Linked DNA regions of Caenorhabditis elegans. The protein of the gene in region 3 interacts with the protein of the main gene of each other region in a pairwise test. Each region holds a gene or a part of one and is shown on either strand. Other genes may lie near its edges.

Region 1 (3,755 bases), 2.6 Mb from region 3:
AAACCTCCGAGTTTTTCGAATTTTTTATAACTTGCCAAAACTTTGACTGAAAATTGTGAAAAATATGAAACCTTTTAGATGTAGACATTAAGTTTTTTTTACCATTTTAAATGCATTTTGACAAAATCGTCACAGGCGCTACTAAACCTTTAATTAAGATCAACTCCCTATCCATCGAGAAAACTCGAAAACCTTCTCGAGTCTGCCACGTGTCTTCTAATTCCTACCCGATGTGCTCACTTCCTGTCGGGACCTTTTGAGTTGTAAAATAGTGAGAGAGAAGATGACCACGCGTAGAATCAATATTTAGGTGAGACTGTGCGTGATCTGAACAGGAAATCATTGACTTTTGGAGAATAACGTTTTTTTCTTCAATATGCATATATCTTTTTTGTAAGTCATAGTTATCGGTTTTCTCTTTTTTTTTTAGCGAAAATTGATTTCTAGCTTTTCTCGAAGTGTTCAAAAAACTGCAAAACTTACTTTCGTACAAAATGTAGAAATTTTCGAGATTAAAAAATTTAAATTACAAAATTTTGTATTTCGGTCTTTCTATTTCTTCGTGTTTTGGAAAAATATTTTTTTAAATGGAATACGATAAACTATGAAATATAACTTGTAAAGTTTGTTTTCTCTTACACCACAATAGTTGAAAAATGGCTGTAAATTTTTCACATTTCTCCCCGGTTCTAAAAATTTTCCAATATTCTGGATTAATCCAGCATCCATTTAATCATCTTATCTTTCAAATCCTTATCAATCGATGGAATCTACAGTATCCTCGAATACTTGTCCGTTATCACCTTCTCTCGCATGCATGTTCATCTTTTCATTCGTTATTTCACACCTTTTGAGGTATACAGGAAGTGGGGGAATCAGTTAAAACATACATATGTCCACGTGTCGGCTAATTTAAGAGTGCAACTCTATAGAAACTGCAAATTCACTTTTCGTACAATTTTTTTGACTAAAAGAATGAAGAGTTTGCAATACTAACGAAGAAGTGCAATACTATTAGGGACGCAAGACTAATTGGGACTTCAAGTCTATATTTCAATCGATATGAACTCTAAGAGAGACTCAAAAATAAAATAAAATAAAACATATTTCTAGTTTCTAGATAGTTTTCAATAAGGAAAATATGGCGTCCACCAGCCAAAGGAAGAATGAGGGTCAGGTTGAATCCGGATAAGAAGATATTTCCAGGGATAATCTTGTTGAATTCTCATGTTTTCTGATTTCAATTTTTTTTCTCAATTTTTTAAAATATTCATCAATGAACATAATACTTTAAACCTCTGAGAGAACCAGTCAGTTTCTGATTTAAATATCAGAAAAATGATTGTGTTAAAGATCGAAGCAAACATACCACATTTTTTCAGTATTGCAGCCATTTTTTGGAAAAGTTACATGAATAATTTATAGACTCTGAAGATGTTCTACACTTTGTGAGTTTATTGTCTTAAACTGTAGTACGCGGAGATATTAGTATGGAAGCTAAAGGAAACTAGAAAAACATTTGAAAATGTACGAGAAAATTTGACTAAAATATAGGATGGATTTTGAACTCTAAAATCTAGGGTTATGAAATTTAAACGTCCTAAGCGATTTGTAATTTAATTTTGAAACTTTAATTGTGAAACTAAAGTGAGGTCAAATTTCTCACATTACTTTCCTTAATTCTTAATTTTTTCAGGAGCAGACAATTTTGTTCAAAAATTTCGAAATTTTCTAAATGTTTAAATATAATTTTTTGCTCATTACTTCAATCTTGATGAGTAATTTCATAGAATATATTTTGCCAGTAACATTTAACTGTCTCAAAAATTTTTTTGGCATTTGAAATGTCATTTTTTAAACTTTTTCATGATCCAAATAGTTCACACAAAACTGCTTTAATCCAATTAATTACAAATAAAAGAAATATAGGTTACCATATCCACAAAATCAGGATGTTCACACTCTTATTCTATCACTTGGGTGTTCACATCCGGCTGGTTTTCTTCTCACTTCTTTCGTTCTCCTCACTTAGTAGGTGGAGTCTACCAACCAGTCGCTCGTCGTCCGCCCGCTCAATGACTCCGCCCACTTTCTTGTCTCTCCGTGGGTCCCAGGGCTCTCGGTTCTCTTTTCGTTTGTGACACTTCCAACTGTCCTATCTGTGTTTGTGTGTATCTAGTAATCAATCACAAACTTCTATATCTGTTCAACGGCATGAACATCTGTATGCGAAATGGTTATGAGCAATTCTCACTGACATCTCCAGGAACATCGGATCTCGAAATTGGTGGATCATTTTGGAAAGACGAACCGGATACCAAGTACTTGTGCCTTGATTCTCCTGTTGAACGTGAGTGTTTTTTTTTTAATTTGAAAATGTTAAGCGTGGGCCAAAATATTTCAAAGAATTTACATCCGGAAAAAATTTTTTTGTAAATTTTCTGAAAATCACAGCTTAAAAAATTCAAAACAAAAGTTAAGTTAGATTCATAAAATTTCCATTTGAAAAGACATCTAACAGATCTAAGAATACAACACCTTCTCTCAAACTCCACTTAATCTTGAAAAATAAATCTTAAAATGTCAAAATCCCTGCAATAACAAAATCGAAAGAAGGAGAGGGAGAAAATCTGGAAAAAAAGATTATTCGCACTTCTAAGCCTTAAATATCCGTCTATTTTCCCCTGAATTTTGCAACTTTTTTATCTGAAGCTCTGGTGCTCTTCCGATTCTTTTCCCATACTACTTATAGGGATGAGCCAATGAATAAATGAGCAAAGTTCCGAAAGGTGTCTGAACTTAATGGGCTCACTTCCAAAAAATTTTGAAGTCATATAACATTACTAAATTTCTTGGTAGAAAAAACCCATTTGAGCTACACATTTTTCCATGACACCTTGCTTATTCACCAGTTTGGCAAACAAAAGAATCGGGGGGTCTCACACAAAAATATATTTTGTTGATTAAACGATATGATGGGGGTGGGGAACAAATGGGAGGCTCCATCAAAAAGCTCTTAGTTCAATCAAGTTCTGAAAGTTTAAAAGAAAACAAAAATCGCTATTTCTTTCATTCCATTTGTCCCCCTCCTCTTTTACTTTTTTCTTTTCCACCTTCTTCTTGTTGTCTTAAAAACGCATAACTTCATCTGGTCCTTCGATGAAGATCTAAGCTATAATCGCCTTATGCACATCACATGTACATATCCGGTTTGAAGATTTCAACAACCCAACCAGATTTTCTCGATTTTCTTGGCCTCGAAAACTTAACCTAGAAAGTTTTCAAATAAATATATGATATTAATAAAAATTAACTTTTCACAGTTTTGTATTCCGAAAGTTTTTAAAACCTAATTTTCTTCAAAAAAAGTTTTTCTCTAGGTCAATTTTCAATTCTAATTTCAAATCGCAACACTCTCCTCCCAAATAAGTAGTTATTTGCCGCCGCTCCGATTATGATTACTGTAGTGGTGGGGTGTTTATAATTGCTTATATTAAGTAAACTTTCCTTCTTTTTTTGGGATTGTTACTTCTTGTTTGTCAACGGCCAGTTTACTTCCTAAAATAAGATGTCAAATGTTGAACAAGGGGATTATCAATAGTTTGAAATGACTACCTTTAGTTGTTATAGTTTTAAAATTAGAACATTTTAATATGTTATTTTTTAAACAGTAGGAAGCTGTCGACTTTAAATTCTTCCGAATAAAAACGGAGCTCAATAAAATTAATGACGTGGCAAAACAGTGCTGACAGAAG
Region 2 (3,755 bases), on a different chromosome or scaffold from region 3:
TTTTTCGGTAAATTCAACCGTAAAATTCTTAATTTTCACGTAGAATTTCTCAAGAATTCCCCAAAAAAAAACACGCACTGAGCCCTGGCTCTTCCCTGTCGATCCAACTGCACATTTGGTACACTAAGCCTGACTAATCTCGCAAATAACGATTGTTCCATATTCGAATATTTCTGGAATGCCTGATTCTGTACAACTGGCGGCAGCTGATGATGATCTCCAATCATAATCCATCGTTTCAGTCGATTGTGTCCGTCTTGTGGATTTTGTAGTAACAATGGGATAAATGTTTCAACTTCAAGAATTTGAGCGGCTTCTTCCATTACGATATTATCGTAGCGGAAGCCGAGCTTCACGAGCTCATTTCGACGGAGAGCCGCGTGTGTACAAGTCATTGCGATGATTTTTGCCTCTTTCACCTGAAAAAATCCAGGATTTTTATAATTTTCAGAGTGTTTTTGTTGTAATTTCGTCGAAAAACTCTAAAATTTTCAAATTTAACATTTCGAAATTTGAATTTTAATTATATTTTTTCTTTTTTTTGCAAAATTTTGTATATTTTATTTGAAATTTGTTGTAGGTTGTAGTTTAGGGAGCACTATATGCCTAGATTCGATATATTTTTTTGCAATTTTCAACATTTTTTCCAATATCTTATTGATCAGATAATTTTTATGTCAGTTGTTTTTTTCTTTTTTGCTTTTTTAAAAGTTTTAAGTAGGCGGGCAATTGTTGTTCGGAAAATTCGGCGAATTCCGGCAAGTTTTTACCCGTTTGCCGGAAATGTTCAATTCCGGCAATGTGCCGGTTTGAAGGAAATTTTCAGTTCCGGCAATTTGCCAGAAATTTTAAATTCCGGCAAATTTTTGCCGGTTTGCAGGAAATTTTCAATTCCGGCAAATTGCCCATTTTGCCAGAAATTTTCAGTTCCGACAATTTGCCGGAAATTTTCAATTCCGCCAATTTGCCGATTTGCCGGAAATTTTCAATTCCGGCAAATCGCCCATTTTGCCAGAAATTTTCAATTCCGGCAGTTTGCCAGTTTGCCGATTTGCCAGAAATTTTTAATTCCGCCGGTTTGCAGGAAATTTCAAATTCCAGCAATTTGTCGATTTGCCAGAAATTTTCAATTCCGGCAACTTGCAAATTTGCCGGAAATTTTTAATTCCGGCAAGTTTTTGCCGAATTGCCGGAACTGCAGTTTTTGACTGAAATTGGCTTAAAAATAAGCTTTTCAGACCAAAATTTCTACCGTAATCCAACACAAAGTACCAAAACTGCCAAATTTTGGCATTGTCCGATTTGTACGAAAAACTACAAGAATCAATCGAAAATTCGCTTTTCCGTGGAAAAACTTCACATTTTTCCAGATTTTCAGACAATTCTGAAGAACAGCCGGAAAATCTCACCCAATTCCCAGGTATCTCACCTCTCCGGTGTCACCTTTTCCCGGTCATGTCTCCCGCCAAACAAAATCGCACCTTCTCGCCTCCCCGCCTACCTAGGCAGCAATGCTCCGCCTAGATTTACAGCCTCCCCAGCTGGAGAATAGCCACTATAATTCCCCCAATTCATTCCACACAAAATGTCATCATCCAACTATAATATTAATAACGGCGGTGACTATTATCCTTTGTCTTCTTCGAATCTTAATTCAACTTCTGCTATTACTAATGCTACTGTAATGGAATATTCCACAATGCCAAGCAGCTCTCCGGGCTCAATGAGCTCATCGCCAGCCTATCCGGCGGCCTATCAGGCTCCATCACCGTGCTACGTGGCGGATCCCAATCAGCTTTACTATCAACAACAGCTGGCTCATAATGGGAATGATATGTTGTAAGTTTTTTCGATACTTTTCAGTACAAAACGGGCGTTTTAGAGTGATTTTCACTACGTTTTTCTACCGAAATGCGTGAAGAACCGCTAATTTTAATGGGGTTATTCAATTAGCGTCGGAAAATTAAAAAGTGTAGAAAAATTACGTCACAACTGTATTAAAATACATTTAAAAACATGTATTTAAATACATTTTGCAAGTAACATTTCTTGAATAACCCCATAAGTTTTGACAGTGGGAAATTACTCAAAATATAGCTTTTTCACACTATATGGCCGCGAACGGGCATTTTTAGCAAAAAAAAACTTTGTTAGCTGCTTTGTTGCAATTAACAGCTCTAAAAATTCCAATTTGAACTATTTTGGTAGCTGCAATTTTGCAATTAACAGTGTCGAAAAGTCCAATTTGCACAAATTGGGCAAATTTGGTAGCTGCTTTTTTGCAATTAACAGTGGCCAAAATTCCAAATTTAGGCAATTTTGGTAGCAGCTGCTTTTTTTGCAATTAACAGCTCCAAGAAGTCCAATTTGCACAAATTGGGCAAATTTGGTAGATTTATTGCAACTAGCAATGTCGAAAATTCCAATTTGAACTATTTCGGTAGCTGCTTTTTTGCAATTAAAAGCTCCAAAAATTCCAAATTTATGCAATTTTGGTAGCTGTTTTCCTGCAATTAGCAGTGTCGAAAAGTCCATTCTGAACTATTTTCGTAGCTGCTTCTATGCAATTAAGAGCTCTTAACAATCCAATTCAGGAAATTTTGTTTGCTACTTTTTTTGCAATTAACTGTTTTCAAAAATTTCAATTTTGAACAATTTTCGAAGCTTCTTCTTCGCAATTAGCAGTGGCCAAAATTCCAAATTTAGGCAATTTTGGTAGCTGCTTTTTTTGAAATTAACAGCTCCAAGAAGTCCAATTGCCACAAATTGGGCAAATTTGGTAGCTTCTTTTTGGCATGTTAAATTTACAGCGGCAAAAATCCCTATTTGGAAAATTTGATCACTGCTTATTTGCAACAAAATTCATCTCCGTGATCGCTTTTCTTCCGAAAATTCCTTTTTTTTTACAGAGTTCAAGCCCATGCTCAAGCCTACCAAGCTCAATGCTTCGCCTGGTTCCAGCAGCAGTACTCACAACTCTCCCCATCCTCGTTTCCTCATCCTATGGTGGCTCATCACGCTGGCTTCATCCCACCACCGCCGTCTTTTCTACATCATCAGCATCAGCAGCATCCAAGAGCTCCTTCAGAAAAGCGGAGAGGCGCTCGAACTCCGTTCTCCGATTCTCAGCTTTACGCGTTGAGAACCAGATTTGAGCAGTGCGACACAATAAAGGTTGACGAGCGACGGAAGTTGGGAGCAGTCATCGGACTTTCGCCCGAGCAGATCAAGATTTGGTTTCAGAATCGGAGATTCAAGTTGAGAAAGGAGAAATACAAGCAGATCAAGCAGGACGCTGTGCAGCAACAGAAATCGGCGAAGGAGGAGGCGGAGGAGGACCAGAAGCATGTTATTTCTTGATTTGTGTAGCTTTTTGTCACTTGTATTATTGTGTGCCCCCAATAAACGATGTTCGATTGAATTGAAGAAAAAAAACCGCGAAATTTGAATTTTCAGTGTTTTTGAACCTTTTAGAACATCAAAATTAGTAGAAATTCCACAACTTCAAAATTTTTGTCTCAAATTTACAACTCTCCGAGCATGTGTATTATAGGCGGTGTAGTCGATTTTTTTTATTGCTTCATTAGACTCAAAATTGTCTGAAAACACAGAATTTCATAATGAAACTTTTTTGAAAACTTCTCAAAAAAAAATTATGACGGCTCAAAAAATGGCCAAAAATTCGTTAAAATTTCAAATTTGACCGACGACTTGTCAATGTCGTAACGGCTGAAGGCAATTTTTTTTTTGAAATC
Region 3 (3,755 bases):
TAGCTGATGAGTGTAGAACACTATTCGTTGGAGAAGAGGAAGAGGAGGGTGCAAAGGAAAATGATGTATTCTGGTGTCTTATTTCGAAGGATGATATTAACTTTCAACAGGTTCTTGTTTTTATTCAAGAAATTAAATTAAATATAAATATCTCTTGAAAATAGGCTCACTATTTCTTTCACGATTAATTAAACGGCGACAGAACATTTCATTCAATTTTATCCCAATAAAAAAAAATCAAAATAATGTTCAAGAATATTTAACAATTTTCTTCAAAATAAATTCTAGATTGTTTTAAATAAGAATTAATTAATTTTACTGAATAAAATTTCAGTTGATTGCCTCGAATCCCTGGCTCGCAGTTCACCTGGTTGATCTTATTCACAAATCCACATTGGATCCCGAGTTTGAAGTGATGAGGAAAATGCACATGTTGGACTACGCCAGTGTTCTTATCTCTCATTCTCCGTTAGTTTTTGAAATTTCTAATTACTGAAAAAACATTTTAAAATATAACTTCACAAATTTTTTATAGTCTGTGGGAAATCGGAGCCGGATATCTTATTGCGTGTGGTACCGAAGGACTTCTACGTCTCGAAACACACATCGAAGGGCTTCACATTGAGGATGATGAGATGGCTGAGCAGTTGCTGGAAATATGTGAAGAGCATCGACTGGAAGACGCGAAAAGTTGTGTGACAAATACAATGACTTTCCGGTATCTGAAGCAAGGACATTGGAGTTCAACACTCGCTTGGGCGTTGAAAACTGGATCCAAAAAGACAATTGACTGGACAGTATCTCGAATTGTTGGTTCAAGTTCGAAGGATGAATTGGCTGCATTAAGAGTTTTATCTTCAATAACCAATCATTCTGTACTCTCACTTCCATCTCTTACCTTCCTCTACTCTTATCAACGATTTGTGAAGATGATGCACTGTGGTGATGTACTGGACTGTGTTCAACATCTGATACCGCTTATTATGATGCCTGATGTTCCAACTCAGTATTACTATGATCTCTTCGATTATTTAATCACGATTATCAAAGAGGATGGGCGTGCTGGAATCCGATTTTCCAAGGAGATTCTCTATGAGCTCTCAACCTTTTTGTCAACGTTTACGCTTGATAAACATCGAGATTTGAATGATAATTATATGAAAAAGGTAAGTTTTATAGACATTTTTATGATCATATAATTATAAATTGTTACAGGTGAAAGTGCTCAAAAAGATGGTAATGCTCAAGTTGACAGACTCGATTGCGAAAGGAATTGCGTGCTCTTGAATAATTTATGAATTAATTTTATTTTATTTACATTTGCCGATGTTCTTTTTTGTTCTGGGATCTCAGAAAATTTAATTTTTTGTATGTGAATAAGGATCACATCTCTTAATTTTTTTACTATTACTTGGTTTTCCACACAAACTCGTTGAATTTCGAGGCCAACCTACCTTCTTTTCGAGTTTTCCCCAGAGATCGATAGTGACCTATGTGCTATGCAACCGTGCCCCATTGCACGTCCACAAGGCCTCGTCAGCTCCCTCGTCCTCTTTTTTCTGTTTCGACAGAAAACTGCTGGAGTTTATGAATTTATGTGGGCGCACATGACTGTGATCTATTGATTTTCTTCTGCTTTTTTCAATAATTCTGAACCATTTCACCCAACCTGTACCCATAATTTCAGGCAGTTGTGTGCTTTGCGCGCAACTCGGCCAGTCATCGACGTGAACGCCACGGCTTCTGCTCGCTGGCGCCAACTCGATTCCACTTCGGTGAGTTATCATTAAAATATTATCAAAAAAAAATTTCTTTTGATTACAGGCAGAGTCTGGTTCGCAGTCAGAACAAAGCGCTAGTTTGTCTGGATCAGAAGTCATGAGTAGTTCGGAGGAGGTTTGTATTATATTTCTATTTTCTGCGGAAAACAATCAGAAAAATCTAAATAGCCGTTTTTTTTAATGATTTATATTTTAAACTATGAATTTAATAACAAGTTTTATGGTCGATTGGTGAAATTTATTTTTAGTTTCGAATCTTTTTTTTTGTTCAGGTATCATGGATCACATGGTTCTGTGGCCTTCGTGGAAATGAGTTTTTCTGTGAAGTCGACGAGGAATATATTCAGGATCGGTTCAATTTGACAGGTCTCAATGAGCAAGTGCCCAAGTATCGACAGGCTCTTGACATGATTCTTGACTTAGAACCAGGTGATATTTTTGCTGACTTCATGTGCCCCCGCAATGTAACCTTTTTCTAGAAGATGACATAGAGGATAACGCAACGAACACTGATCTTGTTGAACAAGCCGCTGAAATGCTTTATGGACTCATTCACGCTAGATATATTCTTACGAATAGAGGAATCTCACAGATGGTCGAAAAGTGGCGTGATCATGACTTTGGAGTTTGCCCACGTGTCTACTGTGAAAATCAGCCAATGCTTCCAATTGGTGAGTTATAAAAAAATCGCTACTTCATTGGTTGCGGATAATTTTTTTTGAGAAAAGTGAAACTATAAAGTACTAAATTTTCCTAATTTAAAAGTGCATTTCCAATAAAATTTAAAACAAATATTTGTTTTTACACTAAAATTTCTGTAAAATTCCAATTTTTCCAGGATTGTCTGATGTTCCTGGCGAGGCTATGGTGAAATTGTACTGTCCACGTTGCAATGATGTTTTCGTTCCACGATCATCACGTCATCAACATACTGATGGAAGCTATTTTGGCACCGGATTCCCACATATGCTCTTCTTTGTTCATCCTGATCTGCGTCCACGCAGACCAGTCACTCAATTCGTTCCAAAGTATGTCAGAGGATATATATTAAGCTAAATATTTGAAAATCCGAAATTCTAATTTAAAAAATCTTTAAAATCTCGGCAATCGAGTAAATCTTTTCATTTCAGTATACCAATTAAACTTTTTGAATAAAAAATGAAGTAAAATATTTGCTTGATTCGAAAACACAACTTAATAATGTTGGAAAATTCAAAACGACTAGTGTCTGAAGGTTATTTTTTCGGCATTCGGCAACTTTCAGGCTCTATTTGAGATCTTTTTTCAAATATTTCAACAAGAATAAGTTGCAATTTCGAATCAATAAAATATTTTGACACATTTCTAAAATCATTTTTAATTCAAAAAGTTGACTTGGTAGACTGAAATTAGAAGATTTACTCTATTGCCGAAATAAGTTGGCTGTACTAAATTAGATTCGAAATAATTTTAGAAATTAGAAGATCAAACAATAATATTTTATCCACTTTAAAAATTTAGCAGAACTTAGTACAATAATAATTATGTTATGTGTAAATTTTTAAATATCAAAATTTTCAGACTCTACGGTTTCAAAATTCATCCTGTTGCTTATGGAGGACAGGAGGGAAACAGCGGCGGAAATACGGCGAATAACGTTGCCGCAGCACAAAACAACACGACTCCAGCCGGGCAACAATCTGGAGGACAATTCAATAATTATGGTCTCTGAGCCACTTTCTTCCTTATTTTTGTTTTGATTTCTTCTTTCCAGTTTCCATTCAGAATGTCCCCCCTCTCAACACAACATCCTTATTTTCTTCATTGTTTCGTTTTTTCTTCTCCCCAAAATTTTCTTTTCCGACAAAACTCAAGAATCCGGCGGTTCTTCCATGCGTGTTTCTCTTCTTTTCTAAATCTGTTCTATTCCAACATTATGCGAATTTAAGAAATGAATGAAACGGTAGATCCCATACATCTCAAAAAGAGTGTTCC

What was found.
Region 1: the proteins of kin-10 (region 3) and lim-7 interact in a two-hybrid assay, tested with the Caenorhabditis elegans proteins (one large-scale study listed by BioGRID).
Region 2: the proteins of kin-10 (region 3) and ceh-51 interact in a two-hybrid assay, tested with the Caenorhabditis elegans proteins (one large-scale study listed by BioGRID).

What each region holds. Positions count from the first base shown.
Region 1 is NC_003279.8:5,714,462-5,718,216, forward strand, and holds the start of lim-7 (LIM/homeobox protein lim-7), read left to right. Parts: upstream 1-2,112; 5' UTR 2,113-2,214; coding exon 2,215-2,350; intron 2,351-3,755. UniProt on the Caenorhabditis elegans protein: Probable DNA-binding transcriptional activator.
Region 2 is NC_003283.11:18,872,548-18,876,302, forward strand, and holds ceh-51 (Homeobox protein ceh-51), read left to right. Parts: upstream 1-1,585; coding exon 1,586-1,839; intron 1,840-2,909; coding exon 2,910-3,360; 3' UTR 3,361-3,435; downstream 3,436-3,755. Other genes in the region: emb-4 (Intron-binding protein aquarius), read right to left, coding at 79-419. UniProt on the Caenorhabditis elegans protein: Required for mesoderm development, including specification of muscle and coelomocyte precursors.
Region 3 is NC_003279.8:8,288,938-8,292,692, reverse strand, and holds kin-10 (Casein kinase II subunit beta), read left to right. Parts: upstream 1-1,687; 5' UTR 1,688-1,775; intron 1,776-1,824; 5' UTR 1,825-1,878; coding exon 1,879-1,896; intron 1,897-2,053; coding exon 2,054-2,210; intron 2,211-2,260; coding exon 2,261-2,452; intron 2,453-2,619; coding exon 2,620-2,809; intron 2,810-3,341; coding exon 3,342-3,492; 3' UTR 3,493-3,732; downstream 3,733-3,755. Other genes in the region: npp-2 (Nuclear pore complex protein Nup85), read left to right, coding at 1-110, 335-468, 536-1,166, 1,216-1,287. UniProt on the Caenorhabditis elegans protein: Participates in Wnt signaling. Plays a complex role in regulating the basal catalytic activity of the alpha subunit.